Linked DNA regions of Cricetulus griseus. The protein of the gene in region 2 purifies or fractionates together with the protein of the main gene of each other region. This does not show direct contact. Links are inferred from orthologs where the notes say so. Each region holds a gene or a part of one and is shown on either strand. Other genes may lie near its edges.

The links. Proteins that work in one complex are often made in the same cells at the same time.
Region 1: the proteins of Tuba1a (region 2) and Txndc9 purify together in Homo sapiens (affinity purification with mass spectrometry; 3 studies listed by BioGRID and IntAct, counting the BioPlex papers as one, with this or other methods). This does not show direct contact. The link is inferred for Cricetulus griseus from reciprocal best matches to the Homo sapiens genes TUBA1A and TXNDC9.
Region 3: the proteins of Tuba1a (region 2) and Dnaja1 purify together in Homo sapiens (affinity purification with mass spectrometry; 3 studies listed by BioGRID and IntAct, with this or other methods). This does not show direct contact. The link is inferred for Cricetulus griseus from reciprocal best matches to the Homo sapiens genes TUBA1A and DNAJA1.

The regions. Positions count from the first base shown.
Region 1 is NW_023276807.1:10,255,546-10,259,575, forward strand, and holds the start of Txndc9 (thioredoxin domain-containing protein 9), read left to right. Parts: upstream 1-1,230; 5' UTR 1,231-1,244; coding exon 1,245-1,362; exon of another isoform or gene 1,363-1,403; intron 1,404-2,571; coding exon 2,572-2,780; intron 2,781-4,030. UniProt on the Homo sapiens protein: Significantly diminishes the chaperonin TCP1 complex ATPase activity, thus negatively impacts protein folding, including that of actin or tubulin.
Region 2 is NC_048595.1:395,417,920-395,421,898, forward strand, and holds the start of Tuba1a (tubulin alpha-1A chain), read right to left. Parts: upstream 2,801-3,979; 5' UTR 2,704-2,800; coding exon 2,701-2,703; intron 1,416-2,700; exon of another isoform or gene 1,121-1,415; coding exon 898-1,120; exon of another isoform or gene 761-897; coding exon 612-760; exon of another isoform or gene 555-611; intron 356-554; coding exon 1-355. UniProt on the Homo sapiens protein: Tubulin is the major constituent of microtubules, a cylinder consisting of laterally associated linear protofilaments composed of alpha- and beta-tubulin heterodimers.
Region 3 is NC_048595.1:101,876,114-101,880,280, forward strand, and holds the start of Dnaja1 (dnaJ homolog subfamily A member 1), read right to left. Parts: upstream 2,801-4,167; 5' UTR 2,663-2,800; intron 2,294-2,662; exon of another isoform or gene 2,278-2,293; intron 1,589-2,277; 5' UTR 1,579-1,588; coding exon 1,447-1,578; intron 1,317-1,446; coding exon 1,139-1,316; intron 1-1,138.

The DNA.
Region 1 (4,030 bases), on a different chromosome or scaffold from region 2:
CCGCGCACTGGGACAGGGCACATATGGTGTGAGACCTCAGTACGCAAGCGCATCGCCCCGCCGCCTCGGCGTGGGGACGCAGGGCGCGGCTCATCGAGAGCGGCGCTTCGGATAGAGCGTCTTCAGTGGACCCGCCGGCCAGGTGGGAACCCGAGCGCCCCCTAGCCGCAGGGGACTGCCGCGCGCCGACGCCCGGCAGCTCCCGGATTCTAGAACCTAGAGCCCTGTCGACAATGAGGCTTTTCGTTTCCCACTCACGTCAGCACCCTCCCCGGGGCTGGCATTCGACTCGGGACTGGCACTGAAAACTCCCTCAACCCTGCATTTCCTCAGTGGCAGGGAGTTTCATCCATTACGGGACCGCAAGGAGCCCATGATGAGCCTTCCGGGGTTCCCCAGGGAACGTAACACCCAGAAAAAAAAAAGGGGGTCCCCCTCGGTAACTAACACTCGTGTATAAAATAACACTTCGTACACTTAGCAGCACTGTGCACATTTATTAAGGGGGAAAGACTCAAGGGTACAGCGACCATTCCCACGATATGAATCCTTCGTGTGAGCAAGCTCTAAAGACTCCATGCGTTGCAGGAAATCAGGAGGGAAGACTGACGCGGTAAGAATGTTCTCCATCTGGTGTGGGGCGGTGTGATTGGTGTGAGCTACGTAGTTACAGTGCACTGTGGTGAGCTACGCTTCAACTTTAGAAACCATTAAACGCAAAGGAAACGAAGCCCCATGGTCGCCCAGGAGCAAGACCGGGCTCCTTTCGAGGGAGCACAGCGAGTGCGGACGCGCAGCCTGCGCACAAGGAAAACTACAATTCCCAACGTCCTTAGCGCTCATGCCTCCGGTCGTTAGCCCACAAGCGTGGGGCTGCAATCTTGTAGTTCCGGGTGGCGGAGGAGATTCGCACTCTCCGAGGCTTTCGTCACTCGCCAGCCGCCCCTTCCGCGGTTGTCTCACCGTGCATCGCGAGAGGACGTTAGCCAATGAAAAGGAAGAGCCGGCAGACCCTTCGCCCTTAACAACCGCTGCGAGGCTGAAACCTGCGTGAACCCGATCGGCATTCTTGAGCTGCAACTTCCTCCCTTCGTAGGCATCACCGATAGCCCGGGTAACGCAAAGGAGGAGCCGCTTTCCAGGGTTGAAGGCCGTGTCGCGGCTGCACACCCGGCCGGGCGGGGTCGGGGCGGGGGGAGGGCGCGGCCGGGACAGCCTGGTGTGTGCGCCGGAGGCTGTGACGCATGCGCCCCAGGCCCCAGGTGGTGCCGAGTATCGTCCCCCCGGAACTCCTCCACCTGTCTCTGGAGCTCAGGGAGTGGCCAAGAATCTGCAGAGCGGTACCTGGGGTCGGGGTTTCGGGTAGGAGTTTGTTAGGTGTCAGCCCCCGAGTTAGTTCATCGGTAAGAAGAATACTCGGGCTGGTTCAGTCAACAGGAAGTTATGGGGAACCTCTGAGCCATCCATCTCCTGACCCCTCCGCCCCCGTCTAAGGCAGCGACCACCACCGCCTGCCCTAGCGCGGCTCTCGTGAAGCTCCGAACCTCAATGCAAAAGTTCCCTGTAAAAAGATTCCCCCGTGGATAAGCGAATGCTGTGCTTAGATAATGTCAACATTCTGACGAGCTCGTTTCGTGGCCGGTCATTTGTTTAATCCCGAGTGCAGAGCCTTATATTCTTTTTTTAAAAAATATTTTATTTATCTATTATGTATACAACACTCTGCTTCCGTGTATATCTGCACATCCGAAGAGGGCACCAGATCTCATTACAGACGGTTGTGAGCTATCATGTGGTTGCTGGGAGTTGAACTCAGGACCTCTGCAAGAGCAGTCGGTGCTCTTAACCTCTGTCTGAGCCATCTCTCCAGCTCCGAGCCTTATATTCTTATATATTTCTCCTGCGGGGATAATTTTGTCTGTGAGATGATTTTTGTGGTGTTTCTGAGACGTCTGTGAGATCGGCTTGGACCGTGGGCCTGGCTAGTGGGGAGTGAGGATGGTTTTGATTGCTTTAATTAAAGCAAGGAGACCTGCCCATCTGTGCAGCACCGTTCTGTTCCCCGAATTGGTAAACCTAGATTAGGTGTAGAGAGGAGGCTGGACGCAGGCATGCAGGTGTTCGTTTCTCTATGCTTATGATTGGACGCAGTGTCTTCTGTTCCTGTCTCACTTTTCCTGGCCTCCAATTCGAATAAACCTACCTCCTGTATAGCTGTTTTTCGTTAGGGTATTTCTGAGGAAGTATAGGAATGAAACTCCTTATGGCAATGTCCATGAAAAAAAATGGCTAAAATTTACAGAAGCCATAAAGGAAGTTAGTACAATTAGAGACTTCCCTGGGTCCTGGAACTGTGGACCAGGTCTTTGATGGACTGGGTCTTTATCCCGGTTTCAGCAGGTGTTGGGGCCTACATGCTAGGTTCTAAGGTCTCAGAATGACTAAATGACTTCTACTGTGATACTGTCTCAAGCCCTGTTACCAAGACCCTGTGTTTAAACAACAACAAAACCCCCAAAGTGTAAATGAAATGCTTGTTTTTGTTTTTGTTTTTGTTTTTGACTCTCCCAGCATCAGGACGATTTAGAACAATGGAAGGTAATGGATCCATCGACATGTTCTCAGAGGTCATAGAGAACCAGTTCCTCCAGGCTGCTAAGCTCGTGGAAAGTCACTTGGACTCTGAAATTCAGAAACTGGATCAAATCGGTGAAGATGAGCTGGAACTCCTCAAAGAAAAGAGGCTGGCGGCACTCAGGAAGGCCCACCAACAGAAACAAGTAACCCCTCTGGCCTGCTCCCTGAAATCGCCTTGGCACTGGCTCCTGACTGCAGTGTGCTGTCATGTGACCTTCCCTCCTCATTTTCAGGGTGTTCTGAATTGAACTCTCTGTCACTGTTGAATGTTTTCCCAGGAATAAAACTTGAGGGAAGACTTAGGCAAGATAAAACATGTAACCAAGGAGCTGGCATGTAAAGAGAGAGATTAAAACTTCTCTTTCAGACCAATCTTAGGGTCCACATATCAAATTGAAGACATACAGTAGTTCCATGGGAAAAGATATTTCTAAGTGTTTAAGCATGTGTGCATTCTTATTAAATTGTCTGTTTTGGAGGAGTGGAGGTGGCAGGCTAGAACTCACTGTGCAGCCATGACTGGCCTGCTTCTGCCTCCAGGAGTGCTGGAATTGAAGGCGTGTACCACCACGCCCAGTTCTGCATTGTCATTTATTTTCACGAAAACTCAGTGAGATGATTGTTTTATCATATCCAGTTGCAAAAGAGAAAATGAAGGCTCAGAAAGGTCATTAAGGTTCAGTAAATGGTGGGAAGGGTATTGAAAGGCATAGTGAGCGTCTAGTTGAGGTGACAAAGTCTCTGCCAAGGGAAAGGTGGAAGGGGCTGAAAGAGTTCTCAGGCTTGGTTAATAGGGGTGTGTGCCTTGGGTTTCGAAGTTGAATTATATGTGAGGTTTTCCTTGGTTCTGGACACCCCATGAGTAGAATACTTTTCCTTCTGAGGAGTTTGTTCACTGATGGCTAGTCTAGAAGCCCTTGCCTGTTTGAGATTGTTATCAGAAGGAGATCATTGGGTTCCTAAGCTGCTGAACTGCAGTAACCACACTGTACCCCCCAAATTGACAGGTTTATTTCATGGGGTGGTTTGTTTTTTGTCTTTTTTAATTACTTCTTATTTTTGAGATTATAATACAGTTCCATCATTTCCCCCTCCTTCTCCCTCCCTCCAAACCATCCCTTTCAGATTCATGGCCTGTTTTCATCGATTGTTGTTACATCCATAAGTGTATATATGCATACGTATTTCTAAATATCGTTAGTTTGCTCAGTGTGTAGGATGTTACTCACATGTACATTTTAAAGGCTGACCATTTGGTACTGAATAACCAATTGGTGTGCTCTTCCCTAGAGAAGACTATTTCTCCATTCTCAGCATTCCGTAGTTTCCTGTAAGAACATTATTCTTTTTAAAGTATAGACCTGAGTGTGTGTGTGTCTCAGTGGAAGAGCTC
Region 2 (3,979 bases):
ATCTGAGGGAAGCAGTGATGGAAGACACAATTTGACCTATCAACCTATTTAGGTTAGTGTAGGTGGGGCGCTCAATGTCGAGGTTTCTACGACAGATGTCATAGATGGCCTCGTTGTCTACCATGAAGGCACAATCAGAGTGCTCCAGGGTGGTGTGGGTGGTAAGGATGGAGTTGTAGGGCTCAACCACAGCAGTGGAAACCTGGGGGGCTGGGTAGATGGAGAACTCCAGCTTGGACTTCTTTCCATAATCGACAGAGAGCCGCTCCATCAGCAGGGAGGTGAACCCAGAGCCAGTTCCCCCACCAAAGCTGTGGAAAACCAAGAAGCCCTGAAGACCTGTGCACTGGTCAGCCTGTAGGAAAAAAAGAACAGGCATTGTTTATCAACAGGGCATACTCTCAGCACTGCTTGCAATTCCTCAAGATGGCAAACCACATTTACTTGAAAGGAAAAAATTGTGAATTGGTATTAAAAATGATCTCATGACCCATAGACCACATGTACAAGTCTACTTAATTAATGTAGTGAACAGACTTTACTTATTTTGGCAGGTCCCAACACTCCCCCACACTGCATTTTAAATGAACCCATCCATCTATGGTATTTACCAGCTTGCGAATTCTGTCCAAGACAAGATCAATGATCTCCTTGCCGATGGTGTAGTGGCCACGGGCATAGTTATTGGCAGCATCTTCCTTGCCTGTGATGAGCTGCTCAGGGTGGAAGAGCTGGCGGTAGGTACCAGTGCGAACTTCATCTGGAAAAGGAGATGAAATCAACCATTCACAACAGTAACTGACACACACAAGCTCACTCACTCTTCGGCGGTGTGTGGAGAGGTTCTGAGTATGTGACCAGGACAGAATGCCTCAGGGAAACCCCTGGCCCACTTACCGATGACTGTGGGTTCCAGGTCTACGAACACGGCCCGGGGCACATGCTTGCCAGCGCCTGTCTCACTGAAGAAGGTGTTGAAGGAGTCATCTCCTCCCCCGATGGTCTTGTCACTTGGCATCTGGCCGTCAGGCTGGATGCCATGTTCCAGGCAGTAGAGCTCCCAGCAGGCATTGCCGATCTGGACACCAGCCTGGCCAACGTGGATGGAGATGCACTCACGCTGTGGAAAAGGGGGAAAAATTATGAAATTAAGCTGTATTTCTATTTTAGATTTTAATAGATTTCTAAAGTGTTTCTAATAACACAAATATTGTTGAAATTTATTTGGAGTCATATCCCTCATATGACAGAAACAATAATGAGTACCTGATACAAATACTGCAAAGGGGTGTGGTCTGAATAATGTCACCTTAATACTAAGACTTGGTGCAAACCCATTGTTCTCACAGCCATACTTAAATAGAAGAGTTTTCATGTTCGAAAAATACTTAATACACTGATACTGTAAAGTGAAATAATTGTCTGGAATTATTTTAATTGCTTCTTTTCCTGATAAGTAAAGATGAATGCTTCATCTTTTGTGATCTGGTATTTCAACATGGACATCAGTACTGCGGCTGCGGGCAGGAGCCACACCCTTCTGCAGAACTCATCAGCACTAGACAAAGTGTGACTTCTGCATTGCTGTGTCTGCTGTGCCTGGTGCTAGCCTGTGCCCTTTGTTACATTATTTAACAGAGAAAGCTCTATTTCCAGCAGCTGTCTATACGATCCCCTCGCTGCTTTCAGTTTCCTAACCCTCTTAACCCTGTCTGGGCCATTTGCCTGAAATAATGAATTAGTGAAGATGTATTAGAACAAAAGACAGTTGGATACGGAGTATAATTTTTTTCCTTGCAGCAGTTTCATTAGATAATGAAGATTTTCCAGAATCTTTTCCACTATATAGAAGCAAAATATTCTTAAAGCTAAGTTAGAAACAAGGGCCAACAATAAAAACCGAGTAAAAAGATAACATTTAAAACTAGAAAATGGTATTTTATTCGATGAATCTTTACATACCACATAATATATTAGTATTATTTATTCTATAGAGATAGTTTTCTATTGTCTTTAAAGCTACAACTTTCATTGTCTGCGGGGGTGGGGGGTGGGGAAGGGCGTTTCCCTGGGTTCTGACAATCAGGGTAGTCGAGGCAACCTCACCAACTATCCAGCCCCTCTCTCCCCAGCGAGATGTCCTGGTGTTAAGTAAATCGTACTTTTGACACTCAAGCAAACAAAACCTCTTGTAAGATTACAGTTCCACAGCAATTTTTTAAAAATAAAAATACAAAAACCACTCCCGAGGGAAGTTTAGAGAGGGCGAACCCCTCCCAAAACGCCACGGAAGCAAGAGACAAACAACCCCGCCCCTGCGCCTCCCTGACACCGGCTGCCATGGATCCGACGCAAACTAACCATTTTCCCATAGAAGTGGGGCGGCGTTTCTGGAGTGAGGGCTCGGCCGCCGCCCTGCTCGCCCGCCGCAGCGCACCCCTCTAGCCGTGAACCCCCGCCCTGACGGCCCAGGCTGTGCGAGCAAACACTCGCAGGAGCCTTTGTTCTTCCCCGGGTCTGGGCGTTTCCCTGCCCCGCACTGCGGCTGCGGGATTTACGGACTCCGCGCAAAGCTCAACTTAACAAAGCATTGAGACCACCCTTCCCCGCAGGGGTGACAAAGACTTAGGCTTTCCCTTGAAGATCTCGGGAGACTGATTCCACCCAGTTACGGAGGACCAGGGAAGAAGGCTGGCTCACCATGGTTGCTGCTTTGCGGCTGCCCGGAGGTTGGCGGAGGCGAGGAGGAGGTGTTGCTTCTTACAGCGCGACTCTTAGGCGGTCGATGTAAGAGAACCTGCGGCACATGGGCGGATGCGGCTCCTTATATACAGCTCGGTCACCATGGGGATGGGCCACGGCCTTTTCCTGTTGGTCCAGACCCCTCCGTCTGCCCAGAGAAGCCGCGACAGGAGAGTGGTGATTGGTGCAAGCGACATGGTATGAGGTAATCTCTCCCCCACCCCTTCCCCCTAGCATCCGTAGACTTTGCATCCTCAGACAAAGGCTGAGCAAATGCAACTAGCGGAGCATCCATTATGGGGTGGGGCTGGGGAGGGGAGGGGAGGGGAGGGAAGGGAAGAAAGAAAATCGGGGCTGGGTGATTATACATGACTTAAACCTTAAACTATAGTTAAAATAATCCAAGGTTTTCCCCTACACTTAATCACAGACTTTATGGTTTTTTTTTTTTAATAGAAAATTCCAGCATTTCATACACAGTACACTAAATTTGACCATATTCCCTCAGGATCCAAAGTCTTTAATTGCTTTTAAAAAACCAGCAGAGATAGAAATGATGGTCCAAACGGCTTGGGTAAATGCCGATGTTTACAGTTATTGTTACTGTTGTTTGAACAAGATTCAGAAGCCCACTAAGAATAGGCCAGCATCGTAATCTAAACTGCAGCTGGGGTTCAGAGGCAGGAAGATCTGCAGTTCAAGGTCACCCTAACTGGCACGTAAATCCCAACCTTGGAGGAGCTGAGGCTGGAGGATTACAGCTGGTTTGAGGCCAGCGTGGATTATAGTGTGTGATCATGTCACAAAAAAGCAAAAGAGAACGAACTAAAGAGAAATAATATACAAAACAGAATTTATAGTTCACCATAGAGCTAGCTTTGTTTACGGACAGCACTCCCTACCACCCCTCCACACCCACTCCCCTCCCCCGAGCCTGTGCTATTTTATCTGTAGAAATGAGCTATCCTTTCCAATACAGGGTTCCGAAACTATAAGGAGAAAGAATTGAGTTTTAAAACTAGCTCTTTCTTTGCGTGGGCTTATATTTCTGCATTGCTCTTCTTTGGGGAGGGGTGATATCAAGTAAAACATGACTGAGATACCAAATTTTTAAAAACAGAGAAGAGTTATATAATATAAAAGGAAACCATTTTGTAATGTTGCTTTCATCCCAGACAACTGTGCAATGTCAGCCCGTCTGCAGTTCATTTTACGTAGTTCCCTAAATTCTGTAAAT
Region 3 (4,167 bases), about 290 Mb from region 2:
AATTACCCTCTATGGTTAATAAGTTCCTAGCCAGTGATCCTTCCACTAGGACTTTATCCATCACCAAATGGCACTGCCTGGTGGCTAACAACAGTTTCAATCCTTTCTGACCATCATACCTAAAGGAACATTTACTCTTTTAAGTGAGATGTTAAGTATCATATCCTTTTGTTTCTAGCTTTACTTTAGATTTCTACTATCACAAAAAGAACATGTAAGCAGGTTCTTCCAAGTTGAAAGTTGCCCATTTCTTAACTTTGTATACAGAGTACAGAAAAGGAAAAACAAAGCTTCTGGAAACTGACCAAGTATACTTTCCAAAGCAGCAGCAACAAAAACCCTCATATTAAAATAAGCCAAAAGTTAGTAGCTCATACTATCCTTATGGTTCACAACAGATTTTTTTTAATTTTAATTTTTGTGCATACATGTTTGTATGAAAGCCCAGAGGTCAGAAGAGGTTATCAGATCCTCTTGAGCGGGAGTTACAGGCAGTAGTGAGCCATGCACTGAAATCTGGATCTTCTGCAAAGAGTACAGTATTCTTAACCACTGAGCCACTTTTCAGGGCCACAACATTCATTTCCAGTAAATTCTTGTAAAAACACAGTAAACAAAAATGAAGTACTATTGACCTCCAATGCTATCTTCCCAAGAAGTCTGTCTAGCTCAGAGACAACTTTTTTGTTAAAACATTAAATGCATATAAACTGAGTTAGCAAGCTAAAGTAAGATTAAACAGGCAGCAGGTTATCTGGAGGCAATGAGCTGTTTTCAGTCTTGGCTTGCTATGTTTCAGTTTTCTCAACTCTTCTTTAACTGATAAAGGCCATTACACTTAACCATTTGTGTTTGTTCTAGGGGCATGATGTGTAAGGGCTTAGAAGCCCAGGTTGCCATGCTGTTATCTTACTGTTTGGGTATCTGTGGATGGGAGATACCCACTAGATTGGCTTAGCTATTTTGATTACATAAAAATCTCAACTATCTAAATTTCTTTTTTAAAAATCTCAATTTTAAATGACACCAGAAATCAGAGGCATCATACCAATATGTAAACAAGCACTGAAGGTAGTAAATTCAGTTTTTCAGTAGCAGCCATTTCATTCTGCTGCAGGTAAGCTGTACTTTTTCTTACCTCTCCGTTCTCTTTGCATCCTCCCTCCTCCTCCAAAGAACATGTCAAAGATATCCATGGGTGAGCCAAAACCACCACCTGCTCCGCCCTCTTTAATGGCCTGTTCTCCTCCTTTATCATATAATTCCCTTTTTTTGGAATCAGCAAGAACTTCATAAGCTTGAGAAATCTGTTTAAACTGTTTCAGAAAAAGAAATCCCATTAGAAATAACTGTCACACGGCACAGCCACTGTATTACAACCTTGACTTTCGGGCACCAGCAGTACACACATGGCAACACTGCTGAACTGTTCGAGAATGTACTTGCCTTTTCTCCTTCATTTGGATTCTTATCAGGGTGGTACTTCAAGGCTAATTTTCTATATGCCTTCTTCAGTTCTTCCTGGGTGGCATTGGGTTTGACCCCCAAAACATCATAGTAAGTGGTTTCTTTCACCATCTTTCACAGCCTGAAATCAGAAAAACGGGGAGCTTTAAACCAGCTTTTAGTGCTGTGCAGAAGCGCCACCTGCCTCTGCCTCCTGAGAGCCGGGTTCAAGGTGTGAGCCACCATGACCGGCTTTTAATTGGTAGTTTTTAGCAAACTACCAGAACTAGAGCAATCTGTTCTTTGCCGTATAAAGAACACTGCCTTCGCTAACTTTAAAGCTATCAATTCCTGATATGATCTGGCTGAAAATTCTAACAGACTAAATATAAACGTAAATTGCGGGGAACTCGAAAGCCTTTCTAGCAGCTGGTTCCTACTCTGCCGCACTAACACATGTGTGATGGGGCTCCTTCCGGTTTCCTTTCCCCACAGGTTGTGCTAGTAACCCAAAGCAGCACTGGTAGGTTCTGTCCATTGGTTAGTACATTAGCACTGCCTTTGTACATCTGATAAAGGCCCTCACTCGCCGGAAAAGGACAGTGGACTCCCGGGGGTGGAGGAGTGGCTTATGAGACCAGCTCCGGGGAGCAGGTGCCCCCGGCCCCGTCGCCATCCTGATCCTGCTCGCCGCTTACCCACTCTCGTCCCTCAGGCCCGCCAAGCTGACTCGCCCTCTGGATTTCCCCCCAGCACCTGGCGCCTACAGTTAAGGTTTCCTTCCTTTCTCCCTCCCACCCGGATCGAAAAGGCGGAGGGGGAAGGCCGGACCTCAACAAAGAGAGGGAGGAGAGCCAGGAGAAGAAGCACAAGCCGCAGCCTCCGCCCGGCTCCTCCCGCAGCCCCTCACCCCTGCCTCGGTCCGCGCGTGCGCAGCGCTGCCCACCCGGCGCGGGCGGCGGGGAGAAAGGGGTGCGCACCGACAGGAGTCTGAGGCGGGCGCCGAGTTGGCTCGGGCCTTGGGCCTCCTCGCGGCGTACAGACGGTCGGGGAGGGCGCCGGGCATCCCGGCGGCCTTCCGAAGCCGGATTCCGGCTCAGGGAGCCCGCAGCCCCTGCCCACGCGGGGCCAACCGCCTCCGGCTGCGGCTCCCCTCGGCTATCTGGCGCCCAGGCCGCACGTCGCGGCCGAGGAAGGCCCGAGGGCCGAGACTCACCGGTGAGCGGGCCGGTGCCGGAGAGCGGAAAGAGGAGCGTAGCACAACGCAGTTGGGGCAGACGCTGCTCCTCCACCTCCCACGGAGCGTTCTGGAAAGTTCCGCCCGGCCCGCCGCAGCCGACCTCTTTTGTAGCCGAGCCCGGGCGCGTCACTCGCCGGAAGTCCCGCCCCACGCCGCTGCCGCCGCCCCTCGGTTACCTGGGCAACGGCGCGGGGGCGCTGGGGTTGGGAGTGGCCGTGCCCAAGGGCCTTGTGGGGGTGGACTCAGGCCCGGGTTCCGAGACTCGTGGAATCTTCTAGAGGCCTTTCTTTACTGTGAGGGCCCAGAGTGCGGAAGTCTTGAAGTGCAGAGGTTATGTATGCCGCAGGCGCTTCGCCGAAGGGGACCTGCCGGAACCCAACCCCAACCCTAACCCCACCCGGAGCCTAATTTTTTGCAGCCCCTTATTTCTGAGCCCTGCAGGCAAGAAATGCTGAGCCAGACCGGCCTAGTCGCCAGACCAACCTTGCAGGCTTTGAATCTGGTGGTTTCACCCAAGTGCACTTCCGTGTGAGAGCTTTCTGGGCGAGCCCAGGCTTCAAATCCTTAAGTCTCCAATGCCTCAGGCCGAGGGAACCTGGGGCTGCAGCAAACAGGGAATGCTTTATGTAAATTGAGGGCAGTGGATTCTTTTCTAGTCAATCTCCCACTACGTTTGACTGCAGAGTAGCAACAAAAAAGAAAATTTCTTTAGCTAATTGTTTTAATTTTCTGACCATCTTTAGGTCTAGTCAGCGAATCAAAATCTGCAGTTGGCAAAGTGAACCTTAGGCCTTCAAAGGACAGAATGAAAAAATGGAGTGTTTTTTTCTTATTCAGTAACCCAGTAGACGTATCAAACAAAGCAGCTGGAGGTGCAAGCTTGGGAAAGTAGAGTTGACATATTTTATAAAGATTTACTTTCAATCTTGTGTGTCTGTGTAGGTGCCCAAGGAAGTCAGAGGCATGGAGTCTGTTCAGGTTACTTTTATACAGAGACTCGTATATTTTGTTTGGATTTTTTATTTTTATATTTACTGTATGTGTATGAGTGTTTGGTTTATATGTGTGTATGTGCACCACATGCATGCCTAGTGCCCCTGGAGGTCAGGATAGGGAGTGGGATCCCAGGTAATTGGAATTACAGGCTGTTGTGAGCCACCTGGTGCTTTTAACTGATAAGCCATCTCTCTCTACCCTCCTTGGCTTTGTTTTTTCAGAAAGGGTCTTGCCACATTATAGACCAGGGTAGCCTAGTACTCTCTGTAGCCAAAGCTGGCCTCAAACTCTGAACTTCTCAGCCTCCAGGCAGTTGTGAAGACTAATACATGCTCTTAACCACACCACTGAGCCTCCTGCTTAGAATTTTGTTGGATGTTGAACAAAGCAAATTACAAGAGAAGTCACAAAATGTAGCTCAGCACTTGTACAAAACGCAGTTGAGCACATTTCCTAACGGACAAAGAAAGCACTGGAAGCCTAGG